Linked DNA regions of Xenopus tropicalis. The protein of the gene in region 1 binds, or shares a complex with, the protein of each later gene. Links are inferred from orthologs where the notes say so. Each region holds a gene or a part of one and is shown in the gene's direction. Other genes may lie near its edges.

Region 1 (2,977 bases):
GCTATATGCAACAGTGTGACAGTGCTAAATGCAGTTTTGGACACACATACCTTTAATAAATGCCATAACATTGAGCAATTACATTTTTGTGTAACTGTGGTTGCAGTTGTGCCCCAGTATATTTATTGCAAATTCATGTGCACAGACAGGGAATATTTAAAGGCAAAATGAGTTTCCTGTACAAAAAAACAGCAGGGCCTCTGATATAGATCATTTTGAAAATGGAAAATTTGGAAAAAGATGTGCAAAGTGCATCTCCAGCAGCTGTAATGATCACTTCTCTAGTGCTGCTTTACCTCAAGGCTGGTACAGTAGCCAATCATTTGGTGCACTTGATCTTTTGTTAGTGGGGTTTTAGTTACCTTTAGATTTGCTTTTTTCATATTTATTGTCTCACATGTCCTCATTGTTTTTTATGCCTTTTTTGTCTGTTCATTAGGTCCTAACACCTATGAAGATGCTGCTGCTTATATCCAAGCACAATTTGAAAGCAAGAACCGCTCTCCCAATAAGGAGATTTATTGTCACATGACTTGCGCCACAGATACGAATAATATCCAGGTGGTATTCGATGCCGTCACTGACATCATCATTGCCAACAACCTCAGAGGCTGCGGCTTGTACTGATTTTCTCTGTATAGCAATTTATCTTCTGGCGATAAAAAAATGCAACTTGGTAAACAGAAGGCAAAACAAAAATAAACATTTATATATATATAAATATATATATATATATAACCAATCTTTTTAGTTTGTCTCAAAGAGCTGTCAACAGAATAGATTCCTGACAGCCCTTATCCAAAATAATCGAGTTTCCTCATTTTTAAGGATTCTCTGTAGGTCCCAATCTGCCTAACCCTTTCAGTGCTGGAACTTCTGCAACTCATGTAACCCATGACTGTTCTTTCCAGGACTGAAAGATAGTGTAGGACTTATTTGATAAAGGGAATATAATATATTTTAATCTTTTAAGATATGTGTGTTGCGATCAGTTTCACACAAACAGGACCCAAGCGAACCTTCAGGTTTATCTCTTCTGTTCAGCTCTTCGGTTAAAACAAAAAAAAAAAATTCCCCTCCAATTTCTTAACCAGGTAGAAGTGTTTGTGAGACTCGCAGGACAATGTGCTCAGCTTTTGTGGGTGCTGTTGCTGTAAGAGGGTCTGAGAGGGATTCTGGGAGGCCCAGCTAGTCTGAACAACACAATGTAGCGGGCCCCCGTTTTATGATAAAGGTATCAGTGCCAACCCAAACTGCAGAGCAGGGGGCACAGTCTACAGTTTTTAGGGGGTTTCATACCCCGCTGTCCCCTCCTACTCCGCACTACTTTACGGACCCTCAAATTGATGATCTGCAGGTAGCATGACCTTTGGCCTTTGTAAAAACACAGCCTTCCTTAAAGTTGATGTGTAATGTTATCACTGGATTAGTGGCTGCATAGGATGCTGTAAATCTGGTTTAGCTAAGTCTGTACATTTAGAAGAAACAAAACTGTTCTTTTTTTCCCACGTGCTTGTAGCTTAAAGACACCTCCCTTATTCTTATTCTTCTTATTATTCTTACTACCATTTTCTTGCACCAACTTGTAAAGAAGCATCTCCTTTATCCTTTCCAACCCCATCACTGCCAGAGAAGCCAACATGGCCTCCAGCAAAGAAATGGGTTTATATAAATCTGTTTTTTGGGGGGTTTGATTGGGGTTATTTCTGTTGGACTAGGTGGAATAAAATTATCATTTGAATGGAGAAAAAAAAGAATTTTCCAAGATATTTAATGTACAGATCTGATTTCTGATTGGATTCCCTTACTCTGAACTGTGTACCATGCACTCTTTGGATTTGTATAGAAAAAGCACAGCTCTCACTGACCTCCAGCTGCTGAAATAATTCCCCTCTTCAATTTTTGCTCTGAATTCTGTGTATTTCCAAACTGATAGGCTTCTTTACTTTCAATCTTGTTTTACTTTCCTAAGTGAATGCTTTGTGCTGCTTCTCTCCCGCCCCACCCCCCATCCTTTCCATCTTATAGTGAATGGTGTTTTCCTCTCATGTGGGATGTTTGTGCTGAGAAAAAAAACACAAAAAACATCAAAAAAGAAAAAAAAAAGAAAAAAACAAAACAAAAAAAACTAATTTAATCGAATGTAGTGTTTACATTAAATCCACAATTTTCATGACCAAACCTTTGCCATTTCTACTTTGATTAGAACTCAGACTTCTTCACCATTTCACTTGCGAATTGAAGAAGAGCGGTCACAAATGTTAAAGAAAAAAAATGAAAAATCAATCAATAAATGAGCGAGAAATGAAGCTGGAGTGTGTTCTTTGTATTGCCGAGCGCTCAGTTTGGTGCTGCCAGCGACTCTCGTAACTAATGGAAACTCGTGTGTAGCTTAATAAAGAGAATGTTTGTCTGTACTGAGCTGTCTCCAACATTCTGCTTTTTATCAACGTGCGTCACTGTACAAGGAGAATGAACCTGGCTCCCTTTGGGCACAATGAGGTGGCCCTTGTGTCGCTATTGTACAACTGCAGGCTGTAGGTGAAATTGTGCCTGCATCCAGGTTGGAAATCTGCTGCTGCTGCTGCTCTGCATCCTTAGCCCAGAGGCTTTCAGAATTTAGTTTTTAGGTCCCACTTTGCAGTCATTAGAACAGGACTCTCTCTTAGCCTATAATAAGGTTATGGATTCAAAAAAATATTGTCCCAGTTAGGGAACCTGAGTCCTGGCCAGATGGTTGTTCATTTGTGATATCGGAAAAGGCAGCCAGGGCCTCAGTATCAATTTAATATCAACAATTGAAAAGTCAGAATATAAAAAGCAGAAGAATTGCATAGAATGTCCCAATATTAAAAAAAATCTTTTGAGGGTCATTGTACTTATTACGCTTATAATAGTCTGATTAGTCTATCTTTTTTGGAATAGGTAAGTGCCATGTATATTATTTTTACTATTGCAAATATGTATGTGTATGATG
Region 2 (3,131 bases), on another chromosome or scaffold:
TATAATACATGAGTGATACTCAGAGTTCCCTGTATAACTCAGCCTGCAGCCTTGTGCCTTTATATGGGGACAGAACCCCTCAGTGACCTCTAATATCATTTACAGTAAGGGACAGGGCCCAGAACCCCAAAAATACCCCCCAGTGCTGCCCATAATGTAACATTTCCCTTTGCTAGTGTTAGACACATTTAGTGACGCAGAATATCGTTACAGGTATCCAGCACGTTACCGGAAGTGAATAGGAGCTACGTTGGCAGTAGCACCCCACAGATGGAGCACTACAGCCCAGAGTCAATGGTGACCCTAATAGTTATGGCTCTTACCTTCGTTGTGGGGGTGCCTGGGAATATCCTTGTTATCTGGGTGACGGGTATCAAGATGAGGAGGACAGTGAATACAGTTTGGTTTTGTAACCTTGCCGTGGCCGACCTTATCTGCTGTTTGTCTCTTCCTTTCTCGATGGCTCATGAGATCCTCCATAACGCCTGGCCAAACGATTCCATCTCCTGCAAGGTGTTACCCTCCATCATTATCCTCAACATGTTTGCCAGCGTCTTCACTCTGGTGGCCATAAGCGTGGATCGCTATATTCTGGTAGTCAAGCCAGTGTGGGCCCAGAATCACCGCAGCGTGCCTCTGGCTTATCTCCTGTGCTTGGTCATCTGGCTCGTGTCCCTAACGTTGTGCCTCCCCGTGTTCATGTACCGAACAATCACATATTACAATAACCACACCTACTGCGGCTACACCTACAAGCAAGTGGAGGGAGATTTTGAATATAGTGGTTTAGAAGAGGATTATGATTTTGGCAACTATACTTATAATAATTTTGCTCATGATAATTCGGATGTGGAACCCTCAGGCCATGAAACTTCCGTTGCCATCACTATAACCCGAGTGATCTTTGGCTTCTTCTTGCCTCTGCTCGTTATCCTTTTCTGCTATATCCGACTCAGCTGGAAGGTACAAAGTGGACGCTTTGCCAACGTAGGCCGAAAGACACGCAAGGTGGTTATTGCTATCGTGCTGGCCTTTTGCATGCTGTGGACCCCCTACCACGTTATCGGAATTGCTCTCGAGTACATCAGTAGTTCCACCCTGACGCGTCTCGACCACTTGTCCCAGGCATTGGCCTACAGCAACAGCTGCATCAATCCCATCATTTATGTTTTTATGGGTAAGGACTTCAAGAGCAAGATGTCCAAGTCGATACGGGGGCTGCTGCAGAGTGCACTTACTGAGGAAATTACAAGAACTACCGGTGGCAGCAAGAGCAGAGAGAGTGCCCGTTACAGCTCAATGTTATAGGCCAATATAAAGACCATACACTTTAAAAGCAACAATCAGTATATGACATTAATCATGGATATTGTCATTCTGCCAGTCTCTGTGGGGTTCACTTTATGCCAGAGGAGAATGGGCCTGTGCTCAGCTTAATACAAGTGATAAGTGATTGGCTGGCTCACTTTTATATTGTATATATTGTATATAGTATGAAGCATTTTTCCTGCATTTTGTATTTTTTTTTTCTTTGCAGCAAACACCTAGCAACCAATTCCCAAACGGTTGGGCCTACGTCAGTGACCAGGAAGGTATGCTCTACCTAAAGGCCAGTTAGGGTGAGATTTGGGGAAAATTTTTGCTACCCCTGACAGCCCAGGTCTATTCTACTGAGTACTGGGGGGGAACACTTTTGCCATCCCATATATGTATTTGGTCTAATTGCTAATGCGTAAGGGTGAAGACACACAGACAATGTTGATCATTTACTGATAACTGTCTCTACGTGTTTTAGCAGAGGCAATTCGCAGTATCGTCTGTGGCAAGGGATTTTCTGGAGTTTAGTAGCCTTGAAAAAGTAGCAGCTACTAGTAGCCCAGTGTGTCTTCACCCTAGGGGAAGTGGTACACGGGGAGATTAGTCGCCCCGTGACAAATCTTCGTTGTCGCAAGTGACTAATCTCCCCGCAATCTCGCCCAAAGTTGTCTTGAGAGGAAACTTTGGGCGACTGTGGGACGTCGCAGCAGCGCATATGCCATCCCACCAGAGATTTACATTCTAGCCAGTGGGATGGCATTGCCCCGCGACTAATCTCCCCATGTACCACTGCCCTAAACGTTTCCCTGTATCTGTAACCTTATCAGCTCAGTGAGAACTTGAACCAAAGCAGCCCAGCAACCACTGTCCTAGAGGCTTAGATAAGTGTTTTACAACTTCCCAAATAAAGTAAATAGGCAGTACTCAAACCCTTGCACCTTGGCACAAACTGCCTCATAACAAGATTAACATTTTAACAATTATTAAATTGCTGATGTGATAAACGTTGAGGAAAATAAAACATAAATCAGACATTTGTTGTTGGCTTCTCATTAAAGATGATACAATACAAAACTGGGTTCCTAAAGAAGCGGGCGGCTCTTTAGTGCTACAGTGCCCTTCCCTGAGCTACAGTGTTTTGGTGACTCTGGTCACAGCCACAGTCTGTCAGTGAGCATTGGGGTCACAGGTATTCAGGGACCGGTATGTTCTAACTCTGATTCTCAGTTTAGTTATGAAGGCAACATACACATCCTCGTAAGCAGAAGCTGATACAGTTTTGTTTATTTCAAATTACTTTTATTTTTTTTAGCCAGTGGTGTAACTAGAGACCAAAGAACCATAGTTATGCCACTGTTTTCAACCATCCCACAACAAAGCTTACTGACTGTACTGTATCTGGCACAGGCTCCATTTTGGACCTTTTCTAACCCCTGGTTAGAATGATAAACTTTGGGAGGAAAACTTCCTAGAGAAGACAGCACCCTGCCTGCATATTTAATATGCCAAATGTTCTTAGCCCTGATTATGTCATAGAAATAAGTTTATCTAGCCAATGGCCAGGCTGGGGGCTATAGCCATTACTCTGAGGGCCACATCTAAAACTTGGGCTTCCAGACAGTCCTGGCTTAAGGTCTGGGGCCAAAAATGTTTTCTGCCTCTATTTTTCACAAACTCCTCTCTATACAGAGCAATACAAGAGACAGATCAATACAGGCCCATCCTCCCTCTGAGTATTTTCTAGTATAACTAACTTGTTATGTATCTCATATGCCACCGCAGAAAGTACCACCGATACCAGACAGAGTGGGACA
Region 3 (2,993 bases), on another chromosome or scaffold:
GAAAACCAACTTCTTTGTCTTCATTTCAAACCACGGCATTGTTTATCCTAAGCGTAGTGTTGGTCCTTGGCGTGCCAGGCAATGCCTTGGTGGTGTGGATAACAACCTGTGACATGAAAAGGTCCGTCAACACAGTATGGTTTCTGAATCTGGCCATTGCTGATCTACTGTGCTGCCTCTCTGTACCCTTTACAATAATGGAGATTGTCATGGGTCAGTGGCCATTGGGACTCGCTACCTGCAAACTGATACCTACTCTACTATTGATTAATATGTATGCCAGTGTCCTTTTACTGACTGTGATAAGTATAGACCGATGGTTACTGGTTGCAAAACCAGTTTGGTGTCAGAACAAAAGGACTGTGATAAAGGCATATTTGGCATGTGCCATAGTGTGGCTGTTGGCTCTTATTTTGACCAGCCCATCTTTTGTCTTTAGGCAAATAGTTGTAAACATTGTAGAAAAACATGTTTGTGTAATGCATTACAATATTTCTAAAGATCATATAGAAAAGGTCAAGCAATTTATTGCTATTTTCCGATTTTTAATAGGCTTCATTATTCCCTTTGTAGTTATCACTGTATGCTATGGTGTTTTAGTTAGGAAAGTCAGTGAGCGCTATAACAAATCTGGTAAGACAATGAAAGTAGTAACTGTAGTGATAATTGGCTTCTTTGTCTGTTGGTTCCCTTACCATATAGCTGGTCTTATAATAGCTACTCATTCATCCAATTCAGACCTTTACCAGAACACATTGAAAATAGACCCCATTTTGGTTAGCTTTGCAATTATTAACAGTTGCATCAATCCTATAATTTATGTTTTAGCAGGGCAAGACCTGAAATCCAAATTTAGGAAATCCATTAGATCAGTAGTGAAGAACGTACTGGCAGAAGAAGAAAGTCAGTCATTTGATTCCAAGAAGACAAAATCAAGTTCTGAGACAAAAAACACTGATACATGTGTGTAGTGTAAAGAATCAAGTACATTAACCAAACCTTGAAATCAGATCCTTTTTGAGATGTGTGGAGGAAATCAGATTAGTGTCTGTGGTGGATTATTCTCTGTCTGTGGGAAAGATATTTCCTTTATTGTTGGGGTCACTCAAGTATAACATAAACAGGTTAGGTCCTGTATTGAACATGCAAAAATACAACAAAAAAAATCTGCTTAAGTTTGGATCCCTTAGAAATGAACCCTGCTGTATATTGCCTGTTGATTCCTATTAAAAGAGAAAGGGGGTCAAATGTGCAGTGTTGGACTGTGATTTCCTGGGCCCACTGGTTGGTACAATCTCAGGGCCCCACCACCAGAGCCTTGCGGCCCCCTTACTGCTGTCATGGACCCCTCCTGTACTTGACGCAGGCCCTCCCACCGCACCTGATGCAAATTATTTATACCTCCACCCCAGTCCTCCTGGTGACTCCCCAGCCAGGTCTGATGCTGCATACTTGCCCTAAATTTTAAAACAATCCAAAGCAAAAGTGAAAAGCTTCTCCAGTGTCATAATAAATCTGCAATATTGTACACTGTAAGGGAGAGAACTGATTTTATATTGTTCTGCTTTTGGAGATGCTCGGGTGGGCAGGCCCTGTATTGTACTTTACATAATGTTCTGGACAACAATAAATATCAGACAGTGAACACGGTTCAGATCCTTTACGTCAGTGAATTGCAAACTTTTTCAGCTTGAGGTTCAAAATTGGCCTGGGCCCTACATAGGCCATACTAACAATATCTGCAATAGCATAATATGTATTCACCCCACATCATATCCTAAATGAGCTTCCCACTAAGTTTCTGGAGACAAGTTGTATATAAAAGTAAATTTAGTCATTTTATATATATATATATATATATAATATATATATGTAAAAAAGGTAAATATCTAATAGTATTTGTGTGACTTATTTTAACTCTTGTGTGTTTGGATACTTTACAACTAAATATAAAATATAATGGGATGACAAAATCATGTAATTTATTCAGATTTTGCCATGAAGTCTGTGGAAAGCTGTGGAAATGCAGGGATGCAGTTTGATTCTGGGCCCAAAGTTACCAGCAGCACTTGCCATTGGGAAGCAGCTCACTGGCATCAGGTCTGCGAGACATTGTCCTTATGGCACTGACTAACTGGTCAATGGTTCTCCATCATGAATCAGCTAATTCCATAGTAATGCAATTTAATGAATGTATGGGGTGGGATAATTTCATTTCTGTGTAATTAACTAAATGCTTAAATGGATTTTATGCAAAATAAAATGAGATCTTACATTGCCTTCTAACTACAATATTGTATTACCTCCCCACTAAAACCACTTACCAAACAGATGTATTTACATTCCAATTTACAAAATATCAAAGGAACAAAATACAGACTATTTGTGGTTCTTAAGAATATGCTTGAGCATATTCTTGTTTGCATTTTTCGCTGCAGTTTTTCTCGAAAAAAACCCAGCAAATTTGAATTTTGATAAATTGTTCCTTAAAGGAGAAGGAAAGGTAAGAACTAAGTAAGCTTTATCAGAAAGGTCTATGTAAATACAGCCATAAGCACAGTAATGCTGCACTGAGTCCTCTATCAAAAGAAACAGTATTTCTTGTCTCTTTTTTGCAAACATGATGTTCCAGTGTCTGACTTCCTCTCTCAGAAACAGCCTTAATTCCCGGGGCCAGAGCCTGCACAGTTCTCTCCTCTCTTGCCTCCCCTCTCCTGCTCCCCCCCTTCTTTAGGAATGTGTGATCTCAGGTATAACAGCTAGAGACTGCAGGAAGGAAGCTTCCTAATATGGCAGCTGCTATCTTAAGCAAAAGCAGAAAGCTTCTAAAGCTGTTTACTCAGGTATGGTAATGGTTTCTGCAGAATAAATATATTGTTCTAGGTGGCACTAATGTGGCAAATCTATTGGTAGTAAAATGCCAAAATGACTTTCCTTCTCCTTTAAGTCCTTTACAAACCCTTTCCTCAAAGGTTTATTATGTAATGAAGTAT
Region 4 (4,586 bases), on another chromosome or scaffold:
GCTAATTTTCTGCCTTTTACTGCAATTCAGTCCCATAACACATTAAATTTGATTCATTTATTTTAAATGAGCTTCCCTGAGGCTGCTGCAGGGCGAGGGCTTTCAGTTTAACAGTGTGGATCTCTGTGCAAAACATCTTTATGACACACAATAAGCAAAACCCTGACACCCAGACTCTAACCTAAGAACATGCAATTTAATGAAAGTGACATTACAGTGAGACCGTGACAGCAATGCTTCAGCAAAGGCAGATGTGACTACCAGGCTGTGGTTAGAGAAATCAAGTTAATAAGGCAACTGGCTGCTGCATTCTTTTCCTAGCCATGGACCACACTGCCTCTCCCTGTTAGCAGTCTGAAATGCAAGATATTACATTTCTGGAAGCTCATGTACAAGGAAAGACATTAAAGCAAATGCAAAGGGCATGTAATCCCCAAATACTATGTTGCCAAGTAAAAGAATTATGAAATTCTCAGCAACAGTGATGAGCAAACTTGCAGTGTAGTCATTTGGGAAACCATAGAAAAGTTTTAGACAAAGTGCATTGGAATAAATGGAAAGGCAAAATTAAATTGGAGTAAATGTATATTTCAGCTCTGCAGTAACCTATACACTATTAGATATGCTCTTTCCTCTATGCTACCACTGAAAAAATGACTAGAGGCAGATAATAATGATGTCTACATCAACAGATTGTATTTTCCCCAGTAAAACTGGGTCCATGGCAAAATTCTAGCAAGGATTCACAACAAAATGACTGATTTTGATGTAAAACTGTACTTCTCTTGGTAAGAACCACGAATGCAGAGAGTAGAAAGGGGCAAACAGACACTGCTTTCAATAGCTATTACAATTTCAGAAAACAATAAAATATGTTAATAAGGTGCTGACATTACATTATTTTGGGGTTTATATCCCCTTTAACTTTGGCAGCTATCCATACATATAGTTATTAGCTAATACAGATCAGGTACATCGCACACCTATAAACGTGGGGCTGGATAAATGAACAAGCAACAGCCCAGACTCCTGTTCTCCCCCCACAACTGGATTTCCAGCGAAACAAGAGTAAAAGGCAACGTTCCATTAAATGGCCAAATCCGTCTGCAAATTGATGGTATAATCGTGGGCTGCTGCGAGGAAATGAAGCATGTTGGCAGTCGTACATGACACCGCTGGAAATCGCCGGTGCCTGCATCTATTGCAAAGTAGACTGCGACTGATTGGACAGAGGGAGTTGCAGGGCACGGCACATAAAATCGCAAGTAGTTTCGCTGCGCGTTCAACAGGCGTCAGGCAGGGAGAAAGAAAGAGGTGCTTAACTGAGGGCATTGCAGAGAGGGGCAAGCACACACACACACATATACACACACACACACATATACACTCACACACACACACAAGCTAAGCACACTCCTCCTCTCCCTCCTCTATTCCAGCTCATGGACAGTCGCAACAAACTTCATACCGTGTGTGCTGCCCCTACACGCTGCCACTTGTTAGCTTCCCGCTGCGGCTGCCACCTGCCTCCCCACAACCGGACCGGGCAACGTTACGCACGGCAGCTCCACTAGCGCACAATTACGCGCAGTTAGTTTAAAGCGATACAAACACTTATTGTCTAGTGGGCACAAGATAAGAGAAGATGGATCAAGACACAGATGTCCGGAACGATAGCGAAGGGTTTGAGCTGGACCCAAATAGTTCAGAAGTGCCATCAGCTGTAAAGCCACTTCTCGGAATTGGCATTGACAATGTTATCACTCTGGTTGTGTTCGGGATGATATTCGCTCTAGGGGTGCTGGGTAATTCCTTGGTTATAACGGTGCTGGCTAGAAACAAACCCGGGAAGCCCCGCAGTACCACCAACATCTTCATCCTGAACTTGAGTATCGCAGACCTGGCTTATCTGCTCTTCTGTATCCCTTTCCAATCCACTGTCTATGTCCTGCCAACCTGGGTGCTGGGAGCCTTCATCTGCAAGTTCATTCATTACTTCTTCACCGTGTCCATGCTGGTCAGCATCTTCACACTGTCTGCCATGTCGGTGGATAGATACGTGGCCATAGTTCACTCCAGGAGGTCATCTGCTATCAGGGTGTCTAGAAATGCCCTGGTGGGAGTAATTGTCATCTGGATCCTCTCCATTGCCATGGCTTCTCCAGTTGCTTACAACCAGGGTTTGGTTTATAAGAACAACCAGACTTTCTGTTGGGAATCGTGGCCAAATGCCCAGCAGAAAAGGATCTATGTGGTGTGCACCTTTGTCTTTGGATACCTGCTGCCTCTTCTTCTTATTTCCTTTTGCTATGCCAAGGTAAGGTATTATCTCACTGCTTCATTTACATGGTGGGACCACCTGGGTATGTGGCTCTCCTTACTCACAACCACTGGCAGCATTTGCTTCTGCCACACTAGTAAGAGATTCAGCAGTTCTAAATAATAGTTATTACCATATATCTCCTGATGTAGTTAGTATGCTTGGGTACAATACACTGTACTTTGTATTGTATCTCTTTGAGTATAATGATACATATTACTATTAGGTGATCCTACATATAATGTGCTGTCATTTATAATGGATATCCTAATATATTCTTTATTGGCCCTTGGTATAATACACTATAATTGTATTTGTATCCTAGAATATAATGGCCCAGAATTACTATTGGCTTTTCTTGGGTGTAATTCACTATATTGAATTTGATATATTAGGATTCATTGACAATAGTTGCTATTGGCTGTAACTGGATATAATGCACTGTAATTTGTATTTAGCATCTTCGGATATAAAGGTACATAGTTGCTATTGGTCGTCCTTGGGTATACTGCATTAATATCTGTATTGGATGCCACCAAATTTGTCCAGGTCCAGTAACTCATAGCAACTTGCTTTTAAACAAGTGTTATGTAAATGTTACCTGCTGATTGGTTGACCTGTAGAAAACTTTGCTCCTTTTTTTACATAATGCATTGTCTATGAATTTTATATAGCAAAGTTAGAACAGGTATTGGCTGCCTCTGGGAGCAACATTTAACAATTACTGTTGGCACTCTAAAGGTGGCTATACATGGACAGATTTAAGCCGCCGATTAGAGGCCTTTAAACTGATTCGCCACCATATCTGCCTGTGTATGGGCCCCAATGAGCTCCCTTGACCGATATGTGCCTGAAAATTTGGCAGGTGTCGATCGGCAGGTTTGATTTTCCCATTGGGTCGGGGTCAGCTTCAGCTAATTGATGCAGTTCTCCCTCAGAAGGCTCCTAAACCTGTCATTGTAATTCTGTTGTTTGGCCCTAGTGCAAAACAATTCAATAAGCCCCATATCGTCCACCTTAGGTAGGCATATATGGAGAAAGATGCACTCGTTTGGCCACCTCACCAAACGTGTATGGCCACTTTAAGTACAGTGGTCCATAATTACTTTTAATAGAGATGATAGTAATATCCTTGGATAATAGTCCATAGAGGGTCCTGTGTTCTATAATGTTATGTTACAACTTTATAATTCAAATTAAATGATAATTTCTTAATACACCAGTCTCCATATTTTGAGTCTGTAGTTATTACTGGCACTTATTATTATTATTGACTATCTCAGAATTATCAGTCCATATATATAGTTATTTCTGTGTATTGATAATTCTGTAGTTAGTAATGCCTGTCTGGAGATAATAAGGTCCGTTGTTAGTATTTGCTGTCTCAGGACATATTATTTCATGGTCAGTAATGGAAACCATTTGATAGAATACTCTGTAGTTAGTATTCAGTATCTTTGTAGAAGATAAATAAGTAATTAGTATTGATTCTATACTGATACTGGTAATTCAGCAGTTAGTATTGGCTCTATCTGGATAAAATAGTCCAAATCTGGTTCTGCTGTAGCTGTACTTTGGGTGTATGGTATCAGTCCATAATTGGTCTCTAGTTAAAAATTATAGGTGGCAACATCATTGTAAAAATATGTAACTGTAAATTGTCAGGATATGTATTTAATAAATATATGCTGATCTGTTGCTCAGTGTTTCCAAATTTTGCTTTTGTCTTCCGGCTGTGCCTCTTACCTATTTGCACTTGTTTTATGCTGTGTATTTATCAGTTCATGGCTTAGAATTGCCAGCCTTCAGCAATAAAACACAAGCAACAATTTAATGGATGCACAGTCCCATCCTTATCTCACCAGACAATGGCTCTGTTCATGATATATGGCATTTCTCTACATCCCAAACAAATAATGACGGGAGACCTTACAAAATAAGATACAAGTTAACATCCATCAGTTATAGGCGCAGGTTCTGTTTCTCGGAAGAGCTGACAAGGTCAGTGTGGTGCAGGCTTCTTCTTGGCTACTTTCTTTCATTTGATGAATCATCTAATAGTTTGATGAATGTTTTTTTCTCCTAGGACTGAATAGAGAACAATTTCAGTATAGGCGTTAGAGCCCATGACACAACACTGGCCTTATTATAAGATGAAGTTTCCTATTAACTAAGTAAAAGGAATCCTGTAGCTTTATGTTTTGTTTTTTTTACTTAACCTGCAGATAAGGACACACACTCAGTGCAGACCGGTGCATTTACATCT

The links.
Region 2: the proteins of gnao1 (region 1) and c3ar1 are in contact, whole or in part, in a cryo-EM structure (PDB 8I95), measured with the Homo sapiens proteins. The link is inferred for Xenopus tropicalis from reciprocal best matches to the Homo sapiens genes GNAO1 and C3AR1. Residues at the interface, in NP_066268.1 of Homo sapiens: Ile28, Ala31, Lys32, Asp33, Val34, Asn194, Leu195, Ser264, Asn316, Glu318, Tyr320, Asp341, Ile342, Ile343, Ile344, Ala345, Asn347, Leu348, Arg349, Gly350, Cys351, Gly352, Leu353, Tyr354; in NP_001313404.1 of Homo sapiens: Asn57, Asp119, Arg120, Val123, Val124, Pro127, Ile128, Gln131, Asn132, Arg134, Asn135, Tyr356, Ile359, Arg362, Gly366, Arg367, Phe368, Ser371, Lys374, Thr375, Val378, Leu438.
Region 3: the proteins of gnao1 (region 1) and c5ar1 are in contact, whole or in part, in a cryo-EM structure (PDB 8JZP), measured with the Homo sapiens proteins. The link is inferred for Xenopus tropicalis from reciprocal best matches to the Homo sapiens genes GNAO1 and C5AR1. Residues at the interface, in NP_066268.1 of Homo sapiens: Ala31, Lys32, Lys193, Asn194, Leu195, Glu318, Tyr320, Phe336, Thr340, Asp341, Ile343, Ile344, Ala345, Asn347, Leu348, Arg349, Gly350, Cys351, Gly352, Leu353, Tyr354; in NP_001727.2 of Homo sapiens: Asn71, Phe75, Arg134, Leu137, Val138, Pro141, Ile142, Gln145, Ile225, Thr229, Arg233, Ala234, Thr235, Arg236, Ser237, Lys239, Thr240, Val243, Val244, Ala303, Gln305, Phe307.
Region 4: the proteins of gnao1 (region 1) and galr1 are in contact, whole or in part, in a cryo-EM structure (PDB 7XJJ), measured with the Homo sapiens proteins. The link is inferred for Xenopus tropicalis from reciprocal best matches to the Homo sapiens genes GNAO1 and GALR1. Residues at the interface, in NP_066268.1 of Homo sapiens: Ser264, Asn316, Glu318, Tyr320, Asp337, Asp341, Ile343, Ile344, Ala345, Asn347, Leu348, Arg349, Gly350, Cys351, Gly352, Leu353, Tyr354; in NP_001471.2 of Homo sapiens: Thr70, Arg133, Ala136, Ile137, Ser140, Arg141, His226, Leu227, Leu231, Asn233, Ser235, Lys236, Lys237, Ser238, Ala240, Ser241, Lys244, Thr245, Thr248, Leu306, Ser307, Glu308, Asn309.

Annotation. Positions count from the first base shown.
Region 1 is NC_030680.2:51,835,989-51,838,965, reverse strand, and holds the end of gnao1 (guanine nucleotide-binding protein G(o) subunit alpha), read left to right. Parts: intron 1-439; coding exon 440-627; 3' UTR 628-2,119; downstream 2,120-2,977. UniProt on the Homo sapiens protein: Guanine nucleotide-binding proteins (G proteins) function as transducers downstream of G protein-coupled receptors (GPCRs) in numerous signaling cascades.
Region 2 is NC_030683.2:9,128,618-9,131,748, reverse strand, and holds the end of c3ar1 (C3a anaphylatoxin chemotactic receptor), read left to right. Parts: intron 1-213; coding exon 214-1,308; 3' UTR 1,309-2,349; downstream 2,350-3,131.
Region 3 is NC_030684.2:76,890,847-76,893,839, reverse strand, and holds the end of c5ar1 (C5a anaphylatoxin chemotactic receptor 1), read left to right. Parts: coding exon 1-971; 3' UTR 972-2,401; downstream 2,402-2,993.
Region 4 is NC_030682.2:98,671,591-98,676,176, reverse strand, and holds the start of galr1 (galanin receptor type 1), read left to right. Parts: upstream 1-1,532; 5' UTR 1,533-1,645; coding exon 1,646-2,317; intron 2,318-4,586. UniProt on the Homo sapiens protein: Receptor for the hormone galanin. The activity of this receptor is mediated by G proteins that inhibit adenylate cyclase activity.